Linked DNA regions of Canis lupus familiaris. The protein of the gene in region 1 interacts with the protein of each later gene in a pairwise test. Links are inferred from orthologs where the notes say so. Each region holds a gene or a part of one and is shown in the gene's direction. Other genes may lie near its edges.

Region 1 (3,494 bases):
GGAAGAGGTGGAAGCCAGGCTGAGGGAGGAAGGGAGGGGTGGGGGGAGGAGGTACTGTCTTCATGTGGGTCCTGGGGTGCCTTGGCTCTTGGAGAAGATCTGGGACTAGTGGGGAGGGGGGCACAGGGAGGGGGGGCCAGGCCTGGACGTGCCGTCCCTGTCTGGCCCAGTCTGTGCAGCTCAGCAGCGCCTTGTTCCCCTGCAGTAACCGGGCCGCCCTGCACCTCTATTCCAACACCCTCAACTTTCAGTAAGTAGATCAAGATTTTTCTAATGGAATGGGGTGGTCCCAAGTCTGGCACATCCAGGCATCTGAGACAGGCTGAGCTGCCTTCCAGGTGGAAGGATGTGGGCGACTGGGGAGAGACCTGGGCTCAGCTGAGATGGCGAGCAGGCCATGGACTTCCAGACATTACCAGAATGTCTCCTTCAGGCTCTGTGGGGACGACAGCTGCCTGCTGCAGTCTGCTCAAAGCACGTTGTGATGCAGGAGCGTTTGGTGTGGCTGGTTGTGTCCCTCGATGCCGGCTAGGGCTAGGTGGAGGGCCATGTGGTGAAGCGCAGTCTTCTCAGTAGAGGTTCGGGAGTAGAGGTGAGGGCCCGGGACATGAGCAGAAGCAGGGCTCAAGGTGGCCTGGCACCTAGAAGCATCTGAGAGCAACCAGGAGAAAGGAGAGTGTGGTGCTATGGAAACCTAAGCACGTCCAGGCAGGTAGAGTCATCGGCAAGAGCAGTGGAGGGATGCAGAGCCCTGGGGTATCCTGGTGGATGAGGGCAAGCCCACTTGAGGACATGGGAGTCTCTGTGTGCCTGGCGCAGAACAGAGAAAACCTGGCAGGGAAGTGATGTGGTGGAAGCTGCTCGAAGGGGAGGCTGGGGGTGGAGGACCCCCAGAGACAGCTTCAGCTTCAGTTTGCTGGGGGTGAAGAGGGACCGCCAGGAAAGGCATTCAGGGAGGGGTCCTGATCTGGATATAGAGTCTCTGGTGGCCAACAGTTGTGGGGTCTCGGGGCTGGCCAGCTCTCCTAGGCCATCAAGTCCAACACCCTTCCAGTGGCAGGGTACCCGAGTGTGTGCATCCACCCTCCACTGCAGGCTTGGCCCCTAAGGTCCTCAGAGCAGGGGTCACAGGGCCTGGCAGTGACTGTCAGGAACCAGAGGTCCCAGCTCCCGTCCTCCTCCATTCCAGTGGCTAGGCCCAGGAGTCAGCCTTGGTTGCTCAGTGAGTGACAGGGAACAGGGCATGGAGGGAAGGGAACAGCTAATTCAGGGCTTGGGCTCACAGCAAACCACAGAAACAGATGTGTGGGAGCCAGCTTAGGGACACAGGACAGTGGGAACCCCCAGAGGGTGCAAGGCGCTGGGTGCTACTTGCTGCCTACTGCTGGCGAGCGCAAAGGGCAGGCCGCGTCGGAATGGGCTTGCTGTCTCCGTCGGGGAAGACAGACGTGCCGCCGCACTAGCGCAGGATGCCAGAAGACTGAGGAGACTTGAAACTCTGATTTGGGTCGTTCTTTTCTGCTCCTCCTGCCCCCAGGATCAGCGAAGTGGAGCCCAAGTACTACGCCGATGGGGAAGACGCGTACGCAATGAAGCGGGACCTCACCCAGATGGCTGACGAGGTGAGTGTCCCTTGGGGTGCCTGAGGCTGTCGGAGGCCCTCAGAGGCTGTGCTGCCCAGTCGGCGCCCCTTCCCCTCACGTTCTCAGCTGCCAGGCAGGGAGCAGGCCATGGCCGGGCTGGAAAGGAGGTATCACCCCAATGTTCCCTTCTCTGCCAAAGCCTGTCCTGTCTGAGGCGTGATGGCAGAGGAGAGGGAGGAGGCTCTTGGAAGCGCCCAGAACTTGGTCCCCTGGTCTCAGGGGTGAGACTCGGCTGGGCAGAGGAGAAAGTCAGGGTCCTGCCCCAGGCTCGTCAGGGGCCAGGGCCGTTCTGAGGGCTTGGTGGCAGCCCGTGTGAGGGAGGCATGTGCACGCTCACTCAGAGGAGATTGCAGGGCCCAAGAGGTCTCCTGCCCCAGGCCTGCCGCCCTTCATCCCCGGTGTGGGGGGCGGCGGAGGGCCTGCGTGCTCAGGAGACTTAGGTCCCGTCTCCCCTTCCGTCCCCCCGGGCTCCTGGCGGCAGCTGCGAAGGCATCTGGAGCTGAAGGACAAAGGCAGACACGTGGTGCTGGGCGCCATCGAGAACAAGGTGGAGGGCAGGGGCAGCTCGCTTCCGAGCTCTGGAGACGCCTGTCGTGACGAGAGAGGCCTGGCTGCTGACGATAGCGGGGGCGACAGCAAGGATCTCAGCGAGGTCAGCGAGACCACAGAGAGCACCGACGTCAAGGACAGCTCAGAGGCCTCTGACTCTGCCTCCTAGAGCCCGCACTTGCTCCTCACCCCACCCTGGCCTGCCCATCCTGTGCTCGCCCCTCGAGGTTTCCCAATAAACTTCCCCCAGTGGCCTTGGGGAGTGTGTGTGTGCGAGTATGCACATGGGGGGCGGGCAGGGGGCCACCTCTCTCCAGCCACTCTGTGTCCCTGTGGTTATGGACATCACAGCCTTTCAGCACCGCATGCCCTCCAGAGCCAAGTAGAGGGGATTTGGAGGTGGGGCTCCCATGTCTGATGGCTTTCGGCACCTTTGGGCCCGGGAGAGGGACACCCTGGAGTTCTGGAGGCTGGTCCCTGCCGGGAGGCAGATGCTCTGCTGCTGCCTTGCTGGGCTCCTGATGCCTAGAGTCCAGCTGCTCACTGGGCTTATCTGGTGCCGTCCTGTCTTGTCATGGCCCAAGCAGCCACCCAGTTGCTCAAGTCCTGGCAGCTGTCCTTGATTCCTCCCTCCCCTGCCATCCAGAAGATCGGGAAGTCTGGTGTGTTCGACTACCGTAATACCCATGGAATCTGCCCCCTAACCTAAGCCTTCATTTGGAAATAGTTGATAAACTTTATTTTTAGTACAGCCTTAGGTTTACAGAACTGAGCCATTGGATAGTTCCCTGGAACCTCCCTCCGGCCTCCTTCACCATCCCTGAGTTACTTTGTATCAAATGTTATATTTTGTATCAAATGTTACATGAGCCAACATTGATACATTATTAGCCCTAGTCCAGGACTGATGGTTCCTTTTTCTGTTGCACATTCTGGTTTTGGACAAAGGCATAAAGTCATTTCCTTTTTTAAAAAAGATTTTATTTATTCATGAGAGACAGAGAGAGAGAGGCAGGCAGAGACCCAGGCAGAGGGAAGAGCAGGCTCCATGCGGGAGCCCGATGTGGGACTCGATCCCGGGTGTCCAGGTTCATGTCCTGGGCCGAAGGCAGACGCTAAACGGCTGAGCTATCTGGCCTGCCCTTTTTTTTTGTTTGTTTAAAGATTTTAATGTCATTTTTAAAAAATTCTTTTGAAAGATTGATTTGGGAGAGTGTGAGCATGAGCAGAGGGAGGAGCAGAGGGAGAGGGAGAAGCAGACTTCCTGCTGAGCAGGGAGCCCCATGTGGGGCTGGGTCCAAG
Region 2 (4,854 bases), on another chromosome or scaffold:
CTTAGCTCAAATAAAAATACGTTGACTGTTGATGAACAATTCAAAGATGGCTTTAGAAATGAAGTAAGAAACACTTTCATTATTTCAGAAGTTGATACTTTAAAACCACTTTAAACAAAGTCCTTTCAAAATTAGACAAAATACTAGACAAATAAGTATATTTGTGTTTCCAGAAGAATAGTGTATACATGGATTTTTATCAGTTCAGTGCTACTTTTCCTTCTTGTGTAAATTATACTTTTGGAAATTCCAAGGACTTTATCACTTGTGCCTTAAATTTCTCGATCTTTTATCCTTCCTAAGCTAGTTATTAGTGTTTTAAAAATATAGTTACAAATCATTAAAGGAATTTTCTAAGAAAAGAACAATGAGGCAAACTGTCTTTGAAAAGATGAGAATTATTTTGTGGTTGGAATGGCCACCTCCAAAATACCCTATTTTATAATTTTTTTTTAAGATCTTATTTATTTAGAGAATGAGAGAGTGTGTGAGCAGGGTGAGGAGCAGAGGGGAGGGAAGAGGAGGAGGAGAGAATATCACAACCCTGAGATCATGACCTGAGCTGAAACCAAGAGTTCAATTAACTGAGCCATCCAGGCACCCCAGAATTACCCTATTTTAAATACACTCCATATGTTTTCTTTATTATCGAGGCACATCTGTATCATATTTGTTGTAAGTATAGCTGAAATTTAATGTTCATGTAACATATTTTTCTTTATTATATAATTTATAATGTTATTTAAAATGCTGTTAATCACTTTATTTTAGTTACAGCTGTACTCATTTTGCCTCGATAGGGAGTAGTAGTTTTTTCAGCCATGGTTTTAGCTTAGGAGGGTAATAACTAGGCTGCCTTCAGAGTCTGCCCTGAAAGACAGTCCAGCATCATTGTACTGAGCAGTAGAGTGACAGGTGGCTCATCACTTGACCAACAGTCATTGAATGTCTGGTGTGTGCCAGGCATGTGCTTGGTGCCTCGCATTTAAAGATGAATAAGATACAGTCTCTGCCTTCAAGAGACTTACAGCCTCATTCTAACCAGAAAGCCCTCATATCAAATCTGAGAGTCTGTAGTATGCAAATAGAAAGGATGGTATGTCTGAATATAGTGCACCCCTTCTATAATTATTGAGAGTCCGTATTTTTGCAAGGTGGTTTATTCCTTTGTATTTGTCAGTCCTGTCTGCATGTAGAATAGTGCCAGGTACCTGCTAGGTCTCAAATACTTGTTGTGTTAGTGAGGATGAAACTTCTACAGAAGGGTGGGAGCAAAACGCTTCCAATTTTAAAAAACTAAAATTTTGTCATTGTTTTGCAGAAAATGTGCTCTAACTGGCCAGAGTAAGCCCTGTAAACACAGAATTAAATTAGGGGACTCAAGCAACTATTATTACATTTCTCCTTTTTGCAGATACAGGGTAAGTAACTTAACCATGAATTTTAATACAGCTCACTTTGATATGACACATTTGACTATTTATGACTTTTTTCCCCTTTTGGCCTAGATCACCTCTGTATGTAACTTTTTTACATACATTCGATATATTCAGCAGGGGCTCGTGAAACAGCAGGACGGTGAGTTTTCTTAATTGGTTATAAAATATTTACATAAACCTTCAGAAAGTGTAGAACATAGTAATGCTTAAATAAACTTTATTATTGGTATAGTCATATTGAATCTCTCATAGTTGTATGAGAGTTTGGGAACTACTGTCTTTTAAAATGTATTTAACCCTTAAAACTGCCTCATTTTACTCTTGAGTTTTAAGCAGGATCAGTTATAACTCTTAAGGGGGGGTGTATTGATAAACCAGACAGTAAAAATGAGGGGAGTAAAAGGCTTATTGAACTTACTCTTAAGAAATAAAAATGAGTAAGCTCTAGACATGGTCAGATTTATTTTAATTGGTGGAAACCATGAGGATCTAACAATAATTTTTTTCTGTATTTTCTACTTTCACGTGTGAATTAATAAAGCAGTCATGAGGATAGTTCTGAATGGAATAAAGATTACTATATTCTGAATCAGCCGAAACATATAGATGATATATCCAGGAGAGCCAACCTCATGCAAGTGTTTTAATATTTTTAATACAGTCTTTCATGATTACTGATGATTCTGTAGTCAAATGTCTTAAATGCCAGGCATGAAAATGAAAAAGGCCCACCAGCTCCAAAGCAGTGTTTCTTGAGTATATGTGATTGTTTTAAAACAAATAGCAGATCCCAAGCTAGGGATAAAGTCTACACTCATTTTGTATTTGAAGTTGTAGGAAATTTCCTATTCATATCTTTTTAAGGACTGAAAATATTTTTCTATTTAAAACCTAGAAGAGGCCTACTGTCTTAGTAGTGAATCTCAATTCTGTGGAAAAGTTAGTAATGCTGATAAAAATTTAGGTTAGCATTTCAAAGCCTTGGTATGTTGGGAAGAGTCCTATTTATTTAGAATCCCATATAACTGGATTTTACTGCCTAAAAGAATGAGGGTGAAACCTCTCATTAATATTGAGTTTCAGAAGGCTGAGTAGTATAGTCTTTAAAGGGTACAGGACTTTTTACAACTTCAATAAAATTGAAATATTTTTGAATACCTGTTGGTGGTCATAGGATTTAAGCCACAGAACAGATGATTTATGTTAAGTTTAATTGTCAAGTGTGTTTTTTTCCTCCTTGTTAAAGAAGTTTTTGTAGGGAAGATGCTTTCATCTTCCTTTCATAATTTCCTTTATGAAAAGGAGAAATTGTCGTGAGTGGTAGTAGGGTGATGGCGATAGAAGTGGCCTCTTCTCTGATTTCTGTCACTCTCCCTCTTCACAGTACTTGGTACACATCGTATAACATGTGGGTTTGTAGCAAATTAATACTGTAATTTAAAAATCTGTGTTATCTGTGCCTTGTGCCAGAGGGATTTAGGGCAGCTAAATCTAAAGCAGGGTTTCTCAGGCCTGGTTCTATTAACATTTTGAGCTGGATAAGTCTTTGTTGTGGTGCATAGGGACTATCTTGTGCGTTGTAGGATGTTTAACACCATTGCTGAGCTTTACTCAGATGCCAGTAATGAAAAACGTATCCAGACATTTTGTCAGATGTACCCTTGAGGACAAAATCTCCACTGGTTGAAAACCACTGATCTAAATCAGTCTCTAATCTGAGGACATGTTAGAGGAAGACTTTTTGTCTGAAATATAAAGCCAGCTTTTTTTGACTCAGCAGAGAGGGCTTGTCTGAAGTAGAGATAATTGACATCTACAGATCGACCTCTACATTTATTTCTATTTTTAATTTGAGCCATATGCAAAATCTTTCTCTGTTATTCCCACAAAGAATGTTACTGAGTTCTCTGGACTCTTATTTTCCTGTTTCATTCTGCACTGGTGTTAACAAACAGTGGAATGGCCAAGATGTAGCAAACTAGAGCAAGAAGATCCCTAAGTTAGAATAATTGAGGATTGAGGGTAATTGCTTATGAAGGCAAAAAGATTGCCATTATTTACTCAGGACACTGAAGTGTCTACCTTCTGTTGGGCTAAAGTGGTCATTGACGTACCTAACAAATAGTTGCGGCAAAACTGGTGAATATTTGCTCATTTATTGATAACACTGAGATTGTCACAGATACATGAAAAATGTAGTGATTTCACTACTGGGTATTTACCCAAAGTAAATAAATTTGTTTGACTTAGCAGTAAAATGGTGAGGCATTAGATAGGTCATTAGGAAATGCCCAGATGGCATTTCAGCTAATGTTAAGTTTTCAGTGAAACAGCTGAAAAATAATTAAGATGGCATCTTGTGATTTATGTGTCTCCTTTTCTATTTGTATAGTTGATCAGATGTTTTGGGAAGTTATGCAGTTGAGAAAAGAGATGTCATTGGCAAAGCTGGGATATTTCAAAGAGGAACTCTGATGCTGTGCCTGGGACCATGCATGAACCTCCCTGAATACCTGGAAAATGGCTGAATATTTTTATGGTTACTTGATATTTATTTCCAAGGAGTGGGCCCAAGACTGTTTTCCTCTTTTGCAGATTACACTAAGAAGTACTGTGATTTCTTTTAAATTGACCTATGCTGTGTTTGCTTTCTCTTAGTTGAACACACTATAAAGAATTACAGGTGTACCAGTGATTGTAATTTATAGTTGCAAAAAAAAAAAGCTAAATAAAGAAATAAGTCAACATTAGATTGAATATGTTTTTGCTTTCTCCTCTAGTTCTGTTGTGGCATGTAGATAACGTAAGCTGAATGTATTGAATTATAGTTTTCAAAGTGTACAGCAGCCTGTGAGAGGCAAGGAAGAAGGCTGAGTGGACATCAGCTCTGTCCCCCCCACAAGAATGGCTCTATTTTTGTCCGTTTTGTAGATTGGGCTTTAAAGAAGGATTTTATTTAAATAAGGCAAAAAGAAATCAGGAAGCACTTAATCTCTCCATCTAGAGAATGCTGTTAGTATTTCTGAAGAAGAACCTTTCAGCTTTCAGATATTTTCTAACTACATGCGCATATTTCTGAAACAAAAAGTACACTTTGTTCTTTAAGTATTTTTTCTACATGTCTTTCATCACTACATGGTTTTGACTATAGTATGTTAATATTGTTTGGAAATTAGCTGTAAGTTTTTTTTCATATCATAATGCTGTGATGAATATCCTCATGCATACTTCTTTATACATTATTGGGTTATTTTCTTCATGTAAGTGCCTAGAAGTAAAATTGTTGGGTCAAGGTATATGTGTATTTTAAAATATTTGATCTGCTTTGCCAGATTGACCTCTACAGAAGTCGAACAAATGTATTTTTACAGTAGCATTGTGTAAGAGACCTAATTTTCTGAGGATGGCATTGTTT
Region 3 (4,854 bases), on another chromosome or scaffold:
CAGTGCTATGGCCCAGGTCTAAAAGACTTGTACTATATTTCATTTTCCCTTATTAGGTAAAGGAATATTTAAGCCCATCTTCAATGGAGTCCCAGTTTTCTCAAGATTTCTTTATAAGATACTGATGATTATGGACCAAAAATAATTTGGGTATTTTTCTTCTAGGTTTTTGATGTTCTTAGTAGGTATGGACTGCCTAATGAGGTTCTGATTTTTTACTATGAGTATAATCACTAAACATATGGTTGACATTTTCTAAAAATTCTAGCCCTACCTGTTTTTTCTTTGTCTTTTATAATGAGGGAAGGAGTTAGGAGAGAGGCATACACACTGAAAGAAGAAAATCTATTACCTTGGATAGAAAGAAGATGAGTCAGATTGTTAATATATATGTTGGTAGAAAATAGATCTAAAAAAGGATAGAAAAATCTACTTTATCAAATCAATATACCACTACATACCTATTGGAATAGGTAAAATCCAAAATATTGACAGCACCAAATGCTGGTGAGGATATAGAGCCACAGGAACTCATTCATTATTAGTGGGAATATAAAGTGGTATTTATTATAACCACTTTGGAAGACAGTTTGGCAATTGCTTACAAAGTTAGACATAGGCTTACCATATAATCCAGCAGTTGTGTTTCTAGATATGAACTCTAATGAGTTGAAAACACATGTCCACACAAAAACAGGAGAATTAATGTTTGTAGAAAATTTATAATTGTCAAAAATTGGAAGCACGCCAGGTATCCTTCAATAGGCAAGCGGGTAAACTGTGGTGCATTCATATCACCAAGTACAATTCGGGGCTAAAAAGAATTCAACTATCAAGATGTGAAAACACATTTGAGGTACCTTACTATATTAATGCATTTAAGTGAAAGAAGCCAGACTGGAAAGATTCCAATATGTGACATTCTAGAAAAGAAAAAACGAAAGTAGAAAGATTAGAGGCTGTCAGGAGTGCAAGGGATGACGGAGGGGAGAATAGGTGAAGCAGAGGGCATTTTTAGGCCAGTAAAACCATTTTGTATGATACTATAATGGTGTATTCATGGCATTATACATTCAAGGCCTAGAGAACTATAGGACACAAAGAGTGAACCCTAATGTAAACTGTGAACTTCATTCAGTGATAATGTATCAGTTTTGTTTCATCAGTTGTTGTAAAGGCACCACGTAATGCCTTCTGGATATGCAGCTAAAATTATACAAAAATAAATAGTTTAAAAGATTTAAAACCATAGGAATATAAATAGATTAAAGAAAAGTTAAATGGACTAAGTATTGCTGGTTGTCGCATACATTAGAAGCCATTTCAGCACATTTTTTAAAAAGATTTTATTTGTTCATGAGAGAAACAGAGAGAGAGAGAGAGAGACATAGGCAGAGGGAGAAGCAGGCTTCCCGCAGGAAGCCTGATGTGGGACTTAATCCCTGTGTGAATCCTGGAATCACAACCTGAGCTGAAGGCAGATGCTCAACCACTGAGCCACCCAGGTACCCCCACCACTCTAGCAAATTTAAGCATAAAAGGAATTTGTTAAAGACTATTAAGTAATTTGTAGAATCCTGGGAGGACCAGATCGAGGGAAGACTGTTTAGCTGGGAATAATATATAAATCACTATGCTGCACTTATTTCAGATCATCAGTATTTGAATAATGATTTCACAGATGCTGAGGACAAGGCATTTTTCAGAGATCTCTGTCCCAACTGCCTCTAATATCTTGATGTCTCTTCCAACATCGGCTGTCTTCACCAAAAAATAATTCCACACAGTGACTACTTTGTTAATGTTTCTCTAGGCATACATGGGTACATCTGCTTGAGTCTTTTGCCACCAATTGAGTTTTCACCTGAACCTAATTTTGTGTCTTCATGGCTCTCCCTGGTACCACAAATCCATGTACATTGCCAATTGTTTCCACCAGAAACAATTGAATCTGAAAATACTGATATTATGTGTGTGTCCCTAGTTAAATAATTATGAGTTTGGTCAAGAAAATTACTTATTTTTGGCAATATGGATTCTCATATCCAATAATGATTAATTAAGACTTCATATATGTTGTCAGAAAGACTGTTTTAAAACAAGATACCTATCTTAGACAAGATATGCTATCTTGTCTAGAAGAGTCAGATGTAGATTTTATGTTCCCTTTGTGATCTTGCCTGTCCAGTTCAAAGAAATCATTTGTTTGCATTTTTCTAAGCCTAATTACATCTAATACTTTATTATATTTTACTAAAAGAGTCTGTGTCAGGTACCTTTAAATACTTTATAACTATTTATTTGGAAGTAGTATTTTTATCACTTACTTTGGTATTACCTGAGTTGGAAAATTTTGATATGCTTACAGCATTCGTCTTAAGAGTCTCAATGCCAACACCGATATAACTTCCCTGGCACGGAAGGTGGTTGAAGAATGTAAACTTATTCATCCCTCAAAATTAAATGAGGTAGAACAGCTGTTGTACTATCTACAGAACCGCCGGGATTCATTGTCAGGAAAAGGTAAGTATAATTCCTTACTTTTTAATGCATAACCAGAGTTCTTTAACTATAGTTTTTGCTTTTGATATTTCAATCATGGGGTTTGTTTTGTTATTGTTTTATTTTATTTTGCCAGTGCTATAAGTAAATAATGAATGAAAGAATAAACCTATTAGTTTCCTGCAGGAAGGCTCTGTATTAGATACTTCTATGCAAAATGATCTGCTTCTGTTTCATATTGTGGTAGGTGTGTATGTTTGTGTTTGTGTCTGTATGTTTGTGTGTGTATGTTGTGTATATTTCATACTGTGGTGTGTGTGTATGTTTGTGTACATATGTGCTAAGGTAAGGAGTGAAAAAGCAAATGTCTGTCATATTGACTCTAGAATAATGAAAGGAGAGAATTTGGGGCGGCAAAATATTTTCTCTACACGATTAGATTTATATTTTCTAAATTTCTTATAGAGATTTAATTTATAATTTGAATGGGTGACTCAAGCATTTAAATGTTAAAATATATGTCATATGTTTTCAACTATCCTAAAGATACAAGTTTTATGAATCTTTCTTAGGAAAATACTGCCTTTTTCATTCATAATGTCTTCCTTGTTGCCATTCTTCTGTCTTCAATTTCTTCATAAAGAACCAACCCATTAAAATATTAAAGCTAAGCAATTATTTTTAGAAGACATCATCAAATATTCTAAACCAAAAATGAAACAAAGTAAAAATACAGACATTTGAATAGAAAGTCATCTCAGATTATTGAATACATATTCTACTTCATAGTACTGATTAAGTTTACATGTCTTTCACCATTGGTGAGTTAAAATGTGGTGCCTTTGAAATAATTCATAAATGCTTAAGTGTTGATTATACTAAGTAGAAAGAAGTAAAAGAAAATTTGCTTGGGCTTTTTTCAAATTATTCTGTCTTTTCTATTTACAGCAAATGAAATGCCTTGTGTCTAACATACACTTTTATTAGTTAGCTCTGAATATAATATCTAATGTGATCAGTATGTATTTTTGGATTAATTAAGTGATGTTAAATTTATTTAAAAGCAAAAATAAGCAGTTTGAATTTGATTCCATCCAACTACATAACTGGCATTCAATGTATGTTAATTATTCATAATAACTGCTATAAGGAAAATATTAAGAATTTTTATTGTTTCATGATAGAATATTCTACTTAAGATCTCTATAAATGAGGGCGATAACTCCTTTGATAAATAAGTTCAAAGTGAGCAAAGTAAATCCTGTATTCTAGCAAGAAGTGTGTGTACTTATTTTGAGTTATACAGTGTCCTTAAAATTGATCTTTCCTCATGCCTAATTAATTTAATCCCAAGTGCATTTACATTAGAGTATCTTTACTACTAAAACCCTTGAACTGTGTTTTCAAGGTAAATTAGTTTTCTCACCTTCTTCCTCCCAAATTAAAGGAATATAAGGAAATTTTCATGTCAACATGGGTAAATCTGTTCAAATCAATCTGCTTATGTAGATATTAATGTTTTGAAGACATAAATGAAATACTGTTGCTATGTTAAATACACACTTATTTTTAAAAAACTATTCCATTTTTCTTTTTTAACTTTTTTACTTGATATTCACAATTTCAAAGCCAGAATCTTGCACCCTAAAAGTGATTGAAACAAAATAGTAATCCTTAATTTATGTGATTCCTTACCTTCAGTGATTTTTTTTCCATTTTAGTTTTTATATTACTCAACTTATTAATGTATCATTGCCTTATTGATTTTCCTCCTCCCATCTTGAATGTGAGTTAAGAAGGGACTATATTGCTTCTTGTTGGCGAGTCTGGCTGTTTACATACCCAAAAAGGTAGTAACAAAGGAGGAAATGAAATTATGACTTTGGGATCATTTATACTCTCCTTGATATCCTCATTAGAACAGGTGGATTATAGGTGAACAGTTTTGATTTTTTTATTTATCGGGAAAAAGATGATTTTATAAACTATTCAGTTTTAAGATCCTCAACTCAGCCATAATTGAAGTCAGCTGCTAAAAATAAAAATTGCCCAGTAACTCTAAAAACTTAGTTCTTCTCATTAAAAAAAAAATCTTTTTACAGAAAAAAAAGAAAAATCAAGCAAGCCTAAAGATCCACCTCCTTTTGAAGGAATGGAGGTAAGACTGTATTCTGATCTAATAGATAACTGATTGATTGTAAGGTTGTTCCATTTTCCCATCAATAATTCATATAATAACATTAAATAGATATGGAAATTAGAAATTATTGAACTTAGAACCTGGAAAGGTAGATATTTCAGTATTTCATACAGGCAAAAGTTAGTGGCATGTTTTTTAGATATATTTACTTT

The links. The genes of interacting proteins can lie anywhere in the genome.
Region 2: the proteins of NAA10 (region 1) and RAB3IP interact in binary tests that used the Homo sapiens proteins (3 or more experiments, as listed by UniProt). The two-hybrid records come from large-scale screens. The link is inferred for Canis lupus familiaris from reciprocal best matches to the Homo sapiens genes NAA10 and RAB3IP.
Region 3: the proteins of NAA10 (region 1) and KIFAP3 interact in binary tests that used the Homo sapiens proteins (3 or more experiments, as listed by UniProt). The two-hybrid records come from large-scale screens. The link is inferred for Canis lupus familiaris from reciprocal best matches to the Homo sapiens genes NAA10 and KIFAP3.

Annotation. Positions count from the first base shown.
Region 1 is NC_049260.1:122,963,908-122,967,401, reverse strand, and holds the end of NAA10 (N-alpha-acetyltransferase 10), read left to right. Parts: coding exon 1-7; intron 8-205; coding exon 206-250; intron 251-1,537; coding exon 1,538-1,622; intron 1,623-2,124; coding exon 2,125-2,361; 3' UTR 2,362-2,452; downstream 2,453-3,494. UniProt on the Homo sapiens protein: Catalytic subunit of N-terminal acetyltransferase complexes which display alpha (N-terminal) acetyltransferase activity. Acetylates amino termini that are devoid of initiator methionine.
Region 2 is NC_049231.1:12,070,944-12,075,797, forward strand, and holds the end of RAB3IP (rab-3A-interacting protein), read left to right. Parts: intron 1-1,321; coding exon 1,322-1,421; intron 1,422-1,508; coding exon 1,509-1,578; intron 1,579-1,980; coding exon of another isoform or gene 1,981-2,027; exon of another isoform or gene 2,028-2,073; intron 2,074-3,831; coding exon 3,832-3,914; 3' UTR 3,915-4,191; downstream 4,192-4,854. UniProt on the Homo sapiens protein: Guanine nucleotide exchange factor (GEF) which may activate RAB8A and RAB8B. Promotes the exchange of GDP to GTP, converting inactive GDP-bound Rab proteins into their active GTP-bound form.
Region 3 is NC_049228.1:28,534,513-28,539,366, forward strand, and holds part of KIFAP3 (kinesin-associated protein 3), read left to right. Parts: intron 1-2,368; coding exon 2,369-2,523; exon of another isoform or gene 2,524-2,527; intron 2,528-4,604; coding exon 4,605-4,660; intron 4,661-4,854. UniProt on the Homo sapiens protein: Involved in tethering the chromosomes to the spindle pole and in chromosome movement. Binds to the tail domain of the KIF3A/KIF3B heterodimer to form a heterotrimeric KIF3 complex and may regulate the membrane binding of this complex.